Daphnia pulex: one gene and its partners. Each later gene encodes a partner of the first gene's protein in a complex. Links are inferred from orthologs where the notes say so. Each region holds a gene or a part of one and is shown in the gene's direction. Other genes may lie near its edges. The genes, in order: ribonuclease H2 subunit B-like, ribonuclease H2 subunit A-like and proliferating cell nuclear antigen-like.

The links.
Region 2: the proteins of ribonuclease H2 subunit B-like (region 1) and ribonuclease H2 subunit A-like are in contact, whole or in part, in a crystal structure (PDB 3PUF), measured with the Homo sapiens proteins. The link is inferred for Daphnia pulex from reciprocal best matches to the Homo sapiens genes RNASEH2B and RNASEH2A. Residues at the interface, in NP_078846.2 of Homo sapiens: His16, Phe18, Lys39, Asn42, Gly48, Ala49, Ile50, Val63, Lys64, Val65, Phe66, Lys67, His70, Phe74, Val79, His86, Phe87, Val183, Tyr211, Gly214, Leu215, Asp218, Tyr219; in NP_006388.2 of Homo sapiens: Val227, Phe228, Ile253, Trp254, Glu255, Ser284, His285, Tyr287, Phe288, Arg291, Gly292, Leu293, Glu294, Ser295, Ala296, Thr297, Ser298, Leu299.
Region 3: the proteins of ribonuclease H2 subunit B-like (region 1) and proliferating cell nuclear antigen-like are in contact, whole or in part, in a crystal structure (PDB 3P87), measured with the Homo sapiens proteins. The link is inferred for Daphnia pulex from reciprocal best matches to the Homo sapiens genes RNASEH2B and PCNA. Residues at the interface, in NP_078846.2 of Homo sapiens: Asp290, Ser292, Gly293, Met294, Lys295, Ser296, Ile297, Asp298, Phe300, Phe301; in NP_002583.1 of Homo sapiens: Met40, His44, Val45, Ser46, Leu47, Glu124, Leu126, Gly127, Ile128, Pro129, Phe207, Ala208, Asp232, Val233, Pro234, Tyr250, Leu251, Ala252, Pro253, Lys254, Ile255, Glu256.

The regions. Positions count from the first base shown.
Region 1 is NC_060027.1:3,615,902-3,620,053, forward strand, and holds the start of ribonuclease H2 subunit B-like, read left to right. Parts: upstream 1-1,321; 5' UTR 1,322-1,482; coding exon 1,483-1,636; intron 1,637-1,694; coding exon 1,695-1,833; intron 1,834-1,897; coding exon 1,898-1,994; intron 1,995-2,070; coding exon 2,071-2,356; intron 2,357-2,418; coding exon 2,419-2,633; intron 2,634-2,702; coding exon 2,703-2,792; 3' UTR 2,793-3,319; intron 3,320-3,762; 3' UTR 3,763-3,919; intron 3,920-3,964; exon of another isoform or gene 3,965-4,152. Other genes in the region: uncharacterized protein LOC124206984, read left to right, coding at 72-115, 184-340, 411-884. UniProt on the Homo sapiens protein: Non catalytic subunit of RNase H2, an endonuclease that specifically degrades the RNA of RNA:DNA hybrids. Participates in DNA replication, possibly by mediating the removal of lagging-strand Okazaki fragment RNA primers during DNA replication.
Region 2 is NC_060022.1:3,315,536-3,318,875, reverse strand, and holds ribonuclease H2 subunit A-like, read left to right. Parts: upstream 1-1,541; 5' UTR 1,542-1,680; coding exon 1,681-1,813; intron 1,814-1,882; coding exon 1,883-2,413; intron 2,414-2,486; coding exon 2,487-2,746; 3' UTR 2,747-2,781; downstream 2,782-3,340. Other genes in the region: isoaspartyl peptidase/L-asparaginase-like, read right to left, coding at 1-369, 427-646, 718-795, 869-1,061. UniProt on the Homo sapiens protein: Catalytic subunit of RNase HII, an endonuclease that specifically degrades the RNA of RNA:DNA hybrids. Participates in DNA replication, possibly by mediating the removal of lagging-strand Okazaki fragment RNA primers during DNA replication.
Region 3 is NC_060019.1:11,503,999-11,507,059, reverse strand, and holds proliferating cell nuclear antigen-like, read left to right. Parts: upstream 1-1,306; 5' UTR 1,307-1,438; coding exon 1,439-1,659; intron 1,660-1,720; coding exon 1,721-1,886; intron 1,887-1,964; coding exon 1,965-2,363; 3' UTR 2,364-2,439; downstream 2,440-3,061. Other genes in the region: beta-1,4-N-acetylgalactosaminyltransferase bre-4-like, read left to right, coding at 12-403, 459-577, 660-972. UniProt on the Homo sapiens protein: Auxiliary protein of DNA polymerase delta and epsilon, is involved in the control of eukaryotic DNA replication by increasing the polymerase's processibility during elongation of the leading strand.

The DNA.
Region 1 (4,152 bases):
GTTTATCATTGTTGTTAATTTTGTCATGTTTTAGATTAAGATAAGTGTGCTAATTTTCTTATTATATAAAAATGGAATGGGATAGAAATGTAACAGCTCTACCAAAAGACGCAAGGTATAGATTATTACTTCAAACGACTAAACAACGCGCTATAAATTAATTCCTATAATTTCCCTGTTTAGATGGCAAGATTTGATACCACAGTTAAAGTGTCCTCAATGTCAAATGTACCAAGGCTCCAGCATATCAAACTTAGAACGACATGTTATATTGCACTGTAAATGCAGGCCAACTTTGATGAAAAATCACTACATTAAAAAACTTAAACATTTATGTGCAGTAAGTAAACAATAAATCTCTTTAAATAAAGTAACATACTGATGCATTGAAATGTGTATGTGTCAAACAGCGGGTTCATTCTGCAGATGAAGATGTATTGGACTATGTGAGATTGGCCTTAGAAGCAAAATTGCTGCAGTGGAGAAAAGAGGGAATGCCTGAAATACCTCTTCTCTTAAGGCAAAATGACATTCAGTCTGCACAGAAAAAAGTGTCCAAAAATCATTCAAAACTGTTAGATCTTTGGAGATTGTGGCACCAAGAAGTGGACAGTGTTAGTCTGGAATTCAACACCTCTGAGCTGCTTCAACTTATGACAGAAGCTGAAGGTTTGGAATGGGAACCTTGTGATGACATCCTTCCTCCTCTTAGACAGGGAGATGATCATCAGTTTAATCTCGAGCTCATGTCAGAAGTTACAGGCAAATTGAAGCAAATGCAGTCTTTATCACCTGAAGAAATGAACATTGAAGACGAGAATGTTGAGAGATTAGAAAAAGAAGCCAGGATAAATGACGGGTGGCCTACCCGTCTTTCCATTTAAGATTTAATACTTACTTAATACTTATACATGAATTCATTGTTCTTAACAAATGCAGTGGTCCATTTCTGTATCTGTTTATTAATCTTTTCAATTTGTTAATCAGTGGATACAATGAATTTTTCTTTCAGTAGCATGTCAATTTAATAACGCAACGAGCAACGTGTACAGTTAATTATCCTATAATGCAGACTGCAGAGTTCTAGTGAATTGTGACTTGTGACTTGTGAGCTGTAGATGGCCCGTGACAGCGGGCAGAGCTCATAAATTAATTCTAAATATCGTAACAGGATTTCTAAATCTGCAGCGGGCCATAGCGGCTTTTCCGTTTTTCTCGCCTTTTCGGCCGTATTCGCCCAGGCAGAGCTATAGGCCTAGCTCTGGCCCAGCCGCCCAGGCGCCCAGCCAGCCGGCCCAGCGCTTATTTAATTTTGTAGAGCAACATCACATAAAAGACGATGGAAACTTCGTCTGCTAACTTTCGTCTCGTTTTGGCCGCGAAATCAAACAAAAGCGAATCTTCAACATTTTACAGTGCCATTTCAATAAGCTATTACATTTAAAATATAAAACCTCAATATTGATTTCGTGTGTTTTAAAAATGCCAAGAATAACTAGAAAGAATTCAATTAAAGAAAGTATCGTAGATGTTAGTTCATCGCCAGAAAAGGATACTAAAAGCAATGCTAGAAATGCAACAATTTCTGCTGTCAAGACCACCCATCCTGAATCACAATGTGTGATGATTGTCCCAGGTAACCGAATGTTTTCTATTTAAATATTTATTTAGCTAACTTTTCTCTTGTTTAAAAGATGGCATGTTGAATGATAACCAAAGGGGTATAGTGGTTGGAAAACTACGTAATCCAAAAACAGGCACAGGAACTCTGTATGCATTTTCCCACAACAACACAAAACTTTACGAAATGAATCAATTTGATGAAAATAAAAGGTAATGAATTTTTAAAATACATTATTTTGCGTACTAAAATTTTCCTTATTTTGTTTTAATGAAGATCATGGTTCATTGATAACTCTGTTCAATCAGATGGTTCTTTTTTTCTAACAACCACTATAGATCCATTGTTCGTCATCATACCATATTTACAAAAAGTACAATAACAATTTTAATTTGGAAAAACTTTATACCATTCATACCATTTATAACATTGTTTAAAATTGACTTTAGGCCAAACATACAAGCCCTATAGATCAACTACTTGTTGATGAAGAGTATACGGATACAGGAAAGTTATCTTTGTGTTCCAAAAAAGAAGATCTTGAAAAAATTGCTGATTGTAAACAATCTGGAACTTTTCAAGCATGGAAATATAATGAAGGAAAAACCTTTGATTGGCTAGGGAAAAAAGTGTCACGACTTACTCAACATCTAAAAGACAAAAATTTCAATGTAACCCAATCATCAGCTGTATCATCAAACTATGTAAAAACTGATAGTGCAACGGTTCCAGAAAGTAATTGTCTTGAAAGGTTATATTTTTCACTTAGACCTTTAATGATTTCCTCAATTATCAAGGTTTATTTACGCGATACGCATTCGGGCTAATATCTGAATACCTATCCGACGAATTGAGCGCAGCGTTGGAAAAACATTTAGAACTGCCTGCTGTGCCCAAATTTGCTAATAACGATGACGTTAAAGAGCCACCCGCAAAACGACAAAAGTTCGGTTCTGATATCAAATCCGAGCCAACAGAGGATTACAGCAAAGACCAGAAACCATTTGTAAAAGTAAGTCAATCAAGATATACAGTACATGTATAATAATTGGATTAAATAAATTATATTCCTTCCTGATAGGAAAAAATTCAAGTTTCAGCGAAATCGAAAGCATTAGCCAGTGCGGCGAAAGGATCGAAGAGTATAGCCTCCTTTTTTGGGAAGAAATAGAGTATGTGTCCTCGTGTGTCGTGTCCTAATCTTTATCGAACACCTTATTTTTTTCTCGTTTCCTCTTTTTCTTAATACATACTCCCATCTTTCAAATTAGTATTTGCTTTTCTAAATTTGAAATGGTTTACATTGCCGTAATTTTCTATTATTAGCGGCCGGGTTGCAAGCTTTCCCCTTTCATGCTTCCAGCATGTTTTTTTTTTTTTAAATTTGAAACAAAGGTCTTCGGGTACCTTGCTAACGCAGGTAGCTGACAATTTGGTTTATTTTTTTCCGTCCGACTCTAGTTTTCCTCGTCCGTGGATGCTAAGTGCTGTCACTAGGTGGCTAAAAATTTCAGTGTGTTTAGGGATTCAACTATTCAGCCTGTGTTGGTAGAGGGATGTACTGGAGGGGGGGTCACCACAGTTTTGAGACGAGAAACCAAGTGTCGTTCTTTTACTTCCGAGACGCTGACCGAGAAGGTTACTCTAGTCATTATTGCTGGGTACTTTCATTCCTGAAATTGTTCTTCATAAAATAAGGTAATTCCTACTCTAATTCTTAATGTTTTCTACGGTCAATTTACGGGTAAATGGCCTTAAATTTATATTAGTCAATTCAATGTGGCCATGTGTGTTGTACACTTTGTTTAAAATGTCGTCTCTTGCTGAGTGTTGCACTCTTCGTCATGTCAAAGTACTTTAGAACAGTACAAGTAATAATGTAGAGTAACATAATGATTCTATGACTTTGTTTCCACATTAAAATTCTGTGAGGTTTCTGATAGAAAATTGAGCTGTTTTATTACCAATTATCAAACATTAGTTAACTAAAGTTACATGTCATTTGCGAATATTTTCTGTGATTTGTTATGTGAATTTTGTAAATTTGAGAGATGCCCTTGAATTGAGCTTGCGAAGACATGAACTTTCATTAATAATGATTTGAAAAGTGTCAATAACTAATCTAATTTTTTTTGTGACAGGTTGGTGGAGATTGTTCTCAATGTGGAATGCCAAATCAACAAGATGAGATAAGATCCCAAGCTTCTGATGATTCCTCTACCATGTTGTGAGATGAAAATGTGCACACTAGGCAAGCTGAAATGGTAACATCTACTTGTAATAAGACAACTTCCGTGGGTTAGCATCTTGTTAAATTATAGTCTATTTGTGTTCTTTGTTTAGAATTTACTCGAGTTGGGCCTAAAATTCATGATTTAGAAGCAATTTGACAACTACCAACTGTTTCAAATAAGCATTTGTGAAAAGTTTTGATCACCTTGGGAAGAGTTACAATTTGGTTTATTTGAGAATTTTTATTAAACAGCTCAAATTATCTATTTTATAATTTTGATATTTTATTGGTTTATTAA
Region 2 (3,340 bases), on another chromosome or scaffold:
GCCATACGCTTGGAATTGAAATGTATACCTACTTGACCTTTATTTGAAAGAGTTATCGCCCCAGCGGTTCCTCCAGTTCTATTTTGCATGTTTGTTAGAGCACGTTGTGTTGCCTCTTTCGGACCCAAACCAGATTGCATTAATCCAATTATATGATGACATAGACATACTTTGGCGATTGATTCCCCGTGACCTGTTGCAGATGAAGCCCCTCCAGCGTCATCACAATATCCTCCAGCTCCGACAAGTGGAGTATCTCCAACTCTTCCTGGAAGTTTGCCGGTCATTCCTCCAGTCGATGTTGCGCAAGCCATACGGCCATAGCGATCTATCGCTACCGCTCCAACAGTCCCATGTTTGCTTTCCTGGCTAAATTTATTTATGTACACTCTTCAAAACTGAATTTTAGAAAGGTAAAAGAATAACCCAAGTTCACTGGTAGCTTCTCCTCTGCCATGGATAAAATCATCCAGCGCCTCACGAGCAAAGTCTGTAATTAATTCGTCGTCAGATGCAAACGGTACTCCTTTTTCCCGAGCAAATGAATTAGCACCTGGGCCAGCTAGAAAAATGTGAGGTGTGCTATCCATCACGAGTCTAGCAACTGTGACCGGATTGGAAACATTACTTAAACCAGCAACAGCACCTTTTTTGTGTACAATATTTAGATATTCCATAAGTTCTTTGTTAATAGAGATGGTATAGCTAAATTCGTACCTGTTTTCAAGTTTTTTCCTTCCATGATTATGGCATCCATTTCAATCGTTCCTTTAATCGTTAGAACGGATCCTTTACCTTTTGAATAGTACAAGAAAACCTACGTTATTTTTAGTATACATTTAATGATACAGTATGGCAGTATTTGTACCCGCATTGAAGGCTTCGTCGTCCTCCATTACTTTAACGGCAGCTTCTACAGCATCCAACGCGGAGCATTCATCCTTTGACAAACTGACATATCCAGCTCTGGCAGCTTTTCGAACACCATGCAACTTTAGCGGAACTCGCCATTCAGGGATGTCTCCGGCTCCGCCATGCACAAGTATCACTGGATCAATCATGGCTTTAAACACGCAGTCAACAGAGACTCTTTTCGATGTATAATGTGCTGGAATCTGGAAAGAAATTACTAGTCCCAAGACGTACTGAATATGAAACAAAACTATTTTTACAGACCGTCTTGGAAACTGACAGTTTCGCCCCTTTCAACTGTCGCCTAAATAGCAAATCAAGAAGACGGTCATTGACCTATAAGTAAGTGTGTTATCAACCGTGTTCATTGACTCTGTGACTGAAGATACAAGATAGTCTAGAAGGCTAGAAGTAGAAGCCCTCTGTTTGGCCAGAGAGAAACCCTCTATTTGGCCAGCAAACAAACAACAAGTCAACTAAGTGATTGACTTCAATTACTTGATTACTTGACTTCTTGTTTTTGCCTTTGTATTGCTGGTGAAGACGGGATAACGGTAAGTAAACTAGTAATGGAGAAATTTATCGGATTTTTCCAACTTCCAAGATAAGAAAATGGTAGTAGTATAGTGAAAACTGACAACATTGCGTTTAAAACCGACGAAATTAATTTTGCCGCCAAAAAATTTTTTGCAGTTGTTGAGTTAACAACACTTCAGGCTCTGCCACTTTACAACAGATAAACATAATCGAAGTTTCACTGGTTTCACTATGGATGAAGGTTTACAAGCATTTTCTGATAATAACCACAGAAATATCACAATCGTGTCAAAAGTACCTGATGTTTGTCGAAAACAACCGTGTGCTTTAGGAATCGATGAAGCAGGCAGAGGGCCAGTTCTGGGTAACTTTTAACTTTACACAAACACCATTTTGTAGCAATGGTAATGGTTAAGTATTTAATTATTTCAAGGTCCCATGGTGTATGGAATAACATATTGCCCTGAATCTCGAGCAGAGGAGTTGAAAGCTATTGGATGTGCTGATTCAAAAACACTGACAGAGGAACAGCGTGAGAAACTATTTGGAAAATTAGATTCACTTCAAGACTTTGTAGGATGGGCTGTAGAAGTAATCTCACCCAATTCCATCTGCAATAACATGTTCAAAAGGCTCAAACACAGTCTGAATGAAGTGTCTCATGATTCGGCAATTGGCCTTATCAGGAAAGCACTTAGCCTAGAAGCAAACATCACTTCAGTCTTTGTCGACACTGTAGGTCCACCAGAGAAGTATCAAGCCAAGCTCTCAGCTCTTTTTCCAGGTATCAAAATAACTGTTTCCAAAAAGGCTGACTCTCTCTTTCCAGTTGTCAGTGCTGCTAGTATTTGTGCAAAAGTTGCTCGTGATAAGGCACTGTCAACTTGGAAATTCAAAGAGTCTCCATTCATCAGTTTAAAAGCAGAAAACCAAGAACTAAAATGGGGAAGTGGCTACCCAGGAGGTAATAAATTTGACACATCCTATAATAAATAATAATTATACAATTATGAAAACGATTGATCTCTGTGTTGCAGATCCTACTACAAAAAAGTTTTTGGCTCAGAATATTGATGTGGTTTTTGGTTTCCCTCAACTTGTAAGATTTTCTTGGTCCACATCTGAGCAGATCTTGAAAACCAAAGGTGTCACAGTAGAATGGGAAGACACAGAAGAACAAGAAAATCAAGCAGTTTCTGTAAAGAAATTCTTTTACAATTCAGGAAAATCGAATTCCCCGCGTAGACATCCTTATTTTATCGATCGTAAGTTGAAGCAAGCAACAAAGCTTATTTAAATGTGAAATTAAGAAATAAAAAGAATTTTCTATAATTTTTACGACTTTTTTAATTTCCGAAAACTAATTTTTTTTCGCAAATCACAAGTTCACAACGCAAGAATATTGAATTTTAAAAATTTGGCAGTGCGTTGATTTTGTTCAGCAGACGAAAAGGATTTTTGTCGGTTGTCGAAAATCCGCTCTGTTTGGAGTTGGACTGGAAAACATTTAAAGGTAAAACTCGTAAACAACTTAGAATTTTCTGTGATTTAAAAAAGAAAACAGGGTAAATAATTTTTTATCTCAACTTATAAAAAAATTGATGGTTTACTAGTGATCTTGAATTACCAGTGAACTTTTAATCAGAAAAACAACTGTTAGAAAACTTAGATGTATGGAATTGAAACATAGTTTGCTGCATTTCTGATAATAGTACATATTTCTTTAAATCATAGTTCATTCAAAAATGATTATATATAGTGTATGTCTTGAAATTTTTCTGGATATTAAGTAATCATGGTATAATCGTGGAATTACTTAGGTAGACTATTTAATTCTATTTAATTAGTTGCTCTATTTTGTAGGAAACAGAGTCATAAATGAAGCTTTGCC
Region 3 (3,061 bases), on another chromosome or scaffold:
TCGTGAGTTAGGAAGCCAACCAATTAACGGCAATTTTTGCTTTCATCTGTACGAGCGCCAACTTTCTTCGGAAGGAATCGAATTAAACCTGAACATTAGTGATATTGTGCTGAAAACTTTCACCAATTCATCGAAAAATATTGCTATCGGTGGCGCTTCAAAGCCTGTTGATTGTTTCTCAAAATATCGCGTCAATATCGTCGTTCCCTACAGGCGACGTCCAGAACAACTACGTGTCTTCCTTCATTATTTGCATCGGTATTTACAGTTACAGGAAATCGACTACCGGATTATCGTCGTCGAACAAAGCCCGGAAATGCAATTCAATCGTGGAAAGCTATTTAACGTTGGATTTGTTGAGAGCCAGAAACGTTTTCCATCCGATTGCTACATATTCCATGACGTAATTTGTTTCTCATGAATTATTGGATCACCGAGAGATATATTTGTTTTCATAGGTCGATCTCATTCCCTTGAGCCTGAATAATATCTATGCCTGCACAAAGATGCCTCGCCATTTGTCCTCAGCTGTAGATACCTTCGATTATGAGCTACCTTATTGTGGAATCTTTGGCGGGTAAAGTTTGAATTTAATTTTATCTATTTTTCTGCATTTCATCATGCTCCCTGTTTTTTTTTTTTTTTTTTTTTTTCTGTAGTGCTGTGGCAATGACAACTCAACATTTCCAAAGTATCAACGGGTTTTCCAACTTGTTTTATGGATGGGGAGGAGAGGATGATGACCTTTACTTTCGTGTGTCTCAAGCTGAACTTGGCGTGGTACGATTTGAAAAAAATGTTGCGAAATATAAAATGCTTAGACACGAAAAAGAGGTTCCCAATCCTAACCGCTTTGTAACCATGAAAAAGAACAAAATTATTCATGCCGCCGAGGGTTTAAATAGCCTGAATTACACTATGTTGTCTTATGAGTTGAAATCATTGTATACGTTGATGCGTGTCCACCTGTAAATGAGCTAATTATTTGATCAATTGTAAAATAATTTCCCATGTATTACTCCTCGATTCGAGACTTTGTATTGTAATAGATTTGTGTTAAGTATTCCTGGAATTCAACATTTTTCTGTTAAAGTAACTAGTTTCAAAATCTCTATGACACTCACATATCCTTTAGTATTAGCCATTGTGTGCATCATTGCCACTGTCACTAGATCTGGAAACAGACAAAAGATTCGAATTTTTCCCTCCAACCTTGAGGCATTTATATATCACATGATCAAAATCGTCCAATCAGAATCGTGCGTCAGATGGCGATGATTTTGCCGCGAAAACCACGGCGGCAGTCTGCACTCAGTCATTGTTGAGTACTTGGAAGCGTTGAGTTGAGCGTACACATTCCTGCTACGTCATTTGCTGCTTCATCGTTGTTACTACGTGTTTCATTGTCAATTCTTATTTACATCATTTTATCATCATCATGTTTGAGGCACGTCTTCTTCAGGGTTCTTTGTTGAAGAAAGTTATGGAAGCATTGAAGGATTTGTTGAACGAAGCAGCCTGGGATTGTTCTGATGCCGGTATCCAACTCCAAGCCATGGACAATTCCCATGTCAGCCTCGTCTCTCTCAATCTGAGAGCTGAGGGATTTGACAAGTACAGATGTGATCGTAACTTGTCAATGGGCATGAATTTGGGAAGGTATGATTCATAACAAAATTGTATTTAACGAAAATTTCTTAACAGTCTGTTGATTTTACAGCATGTCCAAGATCCTTAAGTGTGCTTCCAATGAAGATATCATTACGATCAAAGCCCAGGACAATGCTGATACTGTTACATTTGTCTTCGAGTCCCCAGAGCAAGATAAAGTTTCAGACTATGAGATGAAGCTGATGAACCTTGATCAGGAACATTTGGGCATCCCTGTAATTGAGCTTTAATTTCTACTTTATTTCCCCTAATAGCAAACTGGTTTATAATTCCATATTTTTTTTTTTTTTTAGGAAACTGACTATGCATGCACCATTAGGCTGCCATCTAGTGAATTTGCCAGAATTTGCAGAGACTTGAGTCAATTTGGAGAATCTATGGTCATTTCCTGCACCAAAGAGGGTGTAAGGTTTTCAGCAACAGGAGATATTGGTACTGGCAACATCAAGCTTGCCCAGTCTGCCAAGGTTGACAAAGAAGAAGAGGCTGTCGTCATTGAGATGCAGGAGCCCGTCTCTTTGACATTTGCTTGCCGATACCTCAACTCTTTCACGAAAGCCACCTCCCTTTCGAAATCCGTTCAGCTTTCTATGTCCCCTGAAGTTCCCCTGGTCGTCGAGTATAAAATCGAAGATATCGGCCACGTCCGTTATTACCTAGCCCCTAAAATTGAAGACGAAGAAGCTGCCTAATTTTTGTATAAGATCACCACTGGCGCACCTAAGTTCTATGATGTCATTAAAAATCATACACTTTTTGTATTCCTAATTTCCGTGTTGTCTTAACTAATTTTCGTTTCAGGCTTTTATTGAAGCCATTCATTATAGCAACACGGTCTCCGCGTCTGCGAGCGGTGTCCAGAAGATATTCTGCCCCACTCATTACCTATTGCCAAGTTCAGTAAATAAGCGAAGTTCGATTTACAGTTTGACGAGTCCATTGTAGCGAGTTACTAAATTAATCTATCGTTAAAATTCTGAATTTTAGGAGGTAAGGTTAAAAATTAAAAACAAAACAACATTTCATTTTGTATTTTCTGGACTTGTTCTTTTTGCGATAAACATGATAATCATTGGTAGGAGCTCTTACCAATATTTAAAAAAAAAAGAACGTGAGACTTGCTGAAAAGTGAAATAATAGAGTGATGACACTATTTCATTCGGCAGCAGCAATGTCGAGCTCCTAGATCGAAGCATCGGAAATTGAGGGTTATTATTCATCGAAGAAGGAATATAGAAAGGACTGCAAACATTGACATTTTACAGTTGTGTTAAGAAATGGCACACAATCAGCTCGAATCGTGCTTGGGGAGAAAGGGAAGCAAAATATTGAAGAAGACGTACAGAGAGCGGCGAGAGCGTGAGAGATAATTTTCAGATTGCTTTGTTAA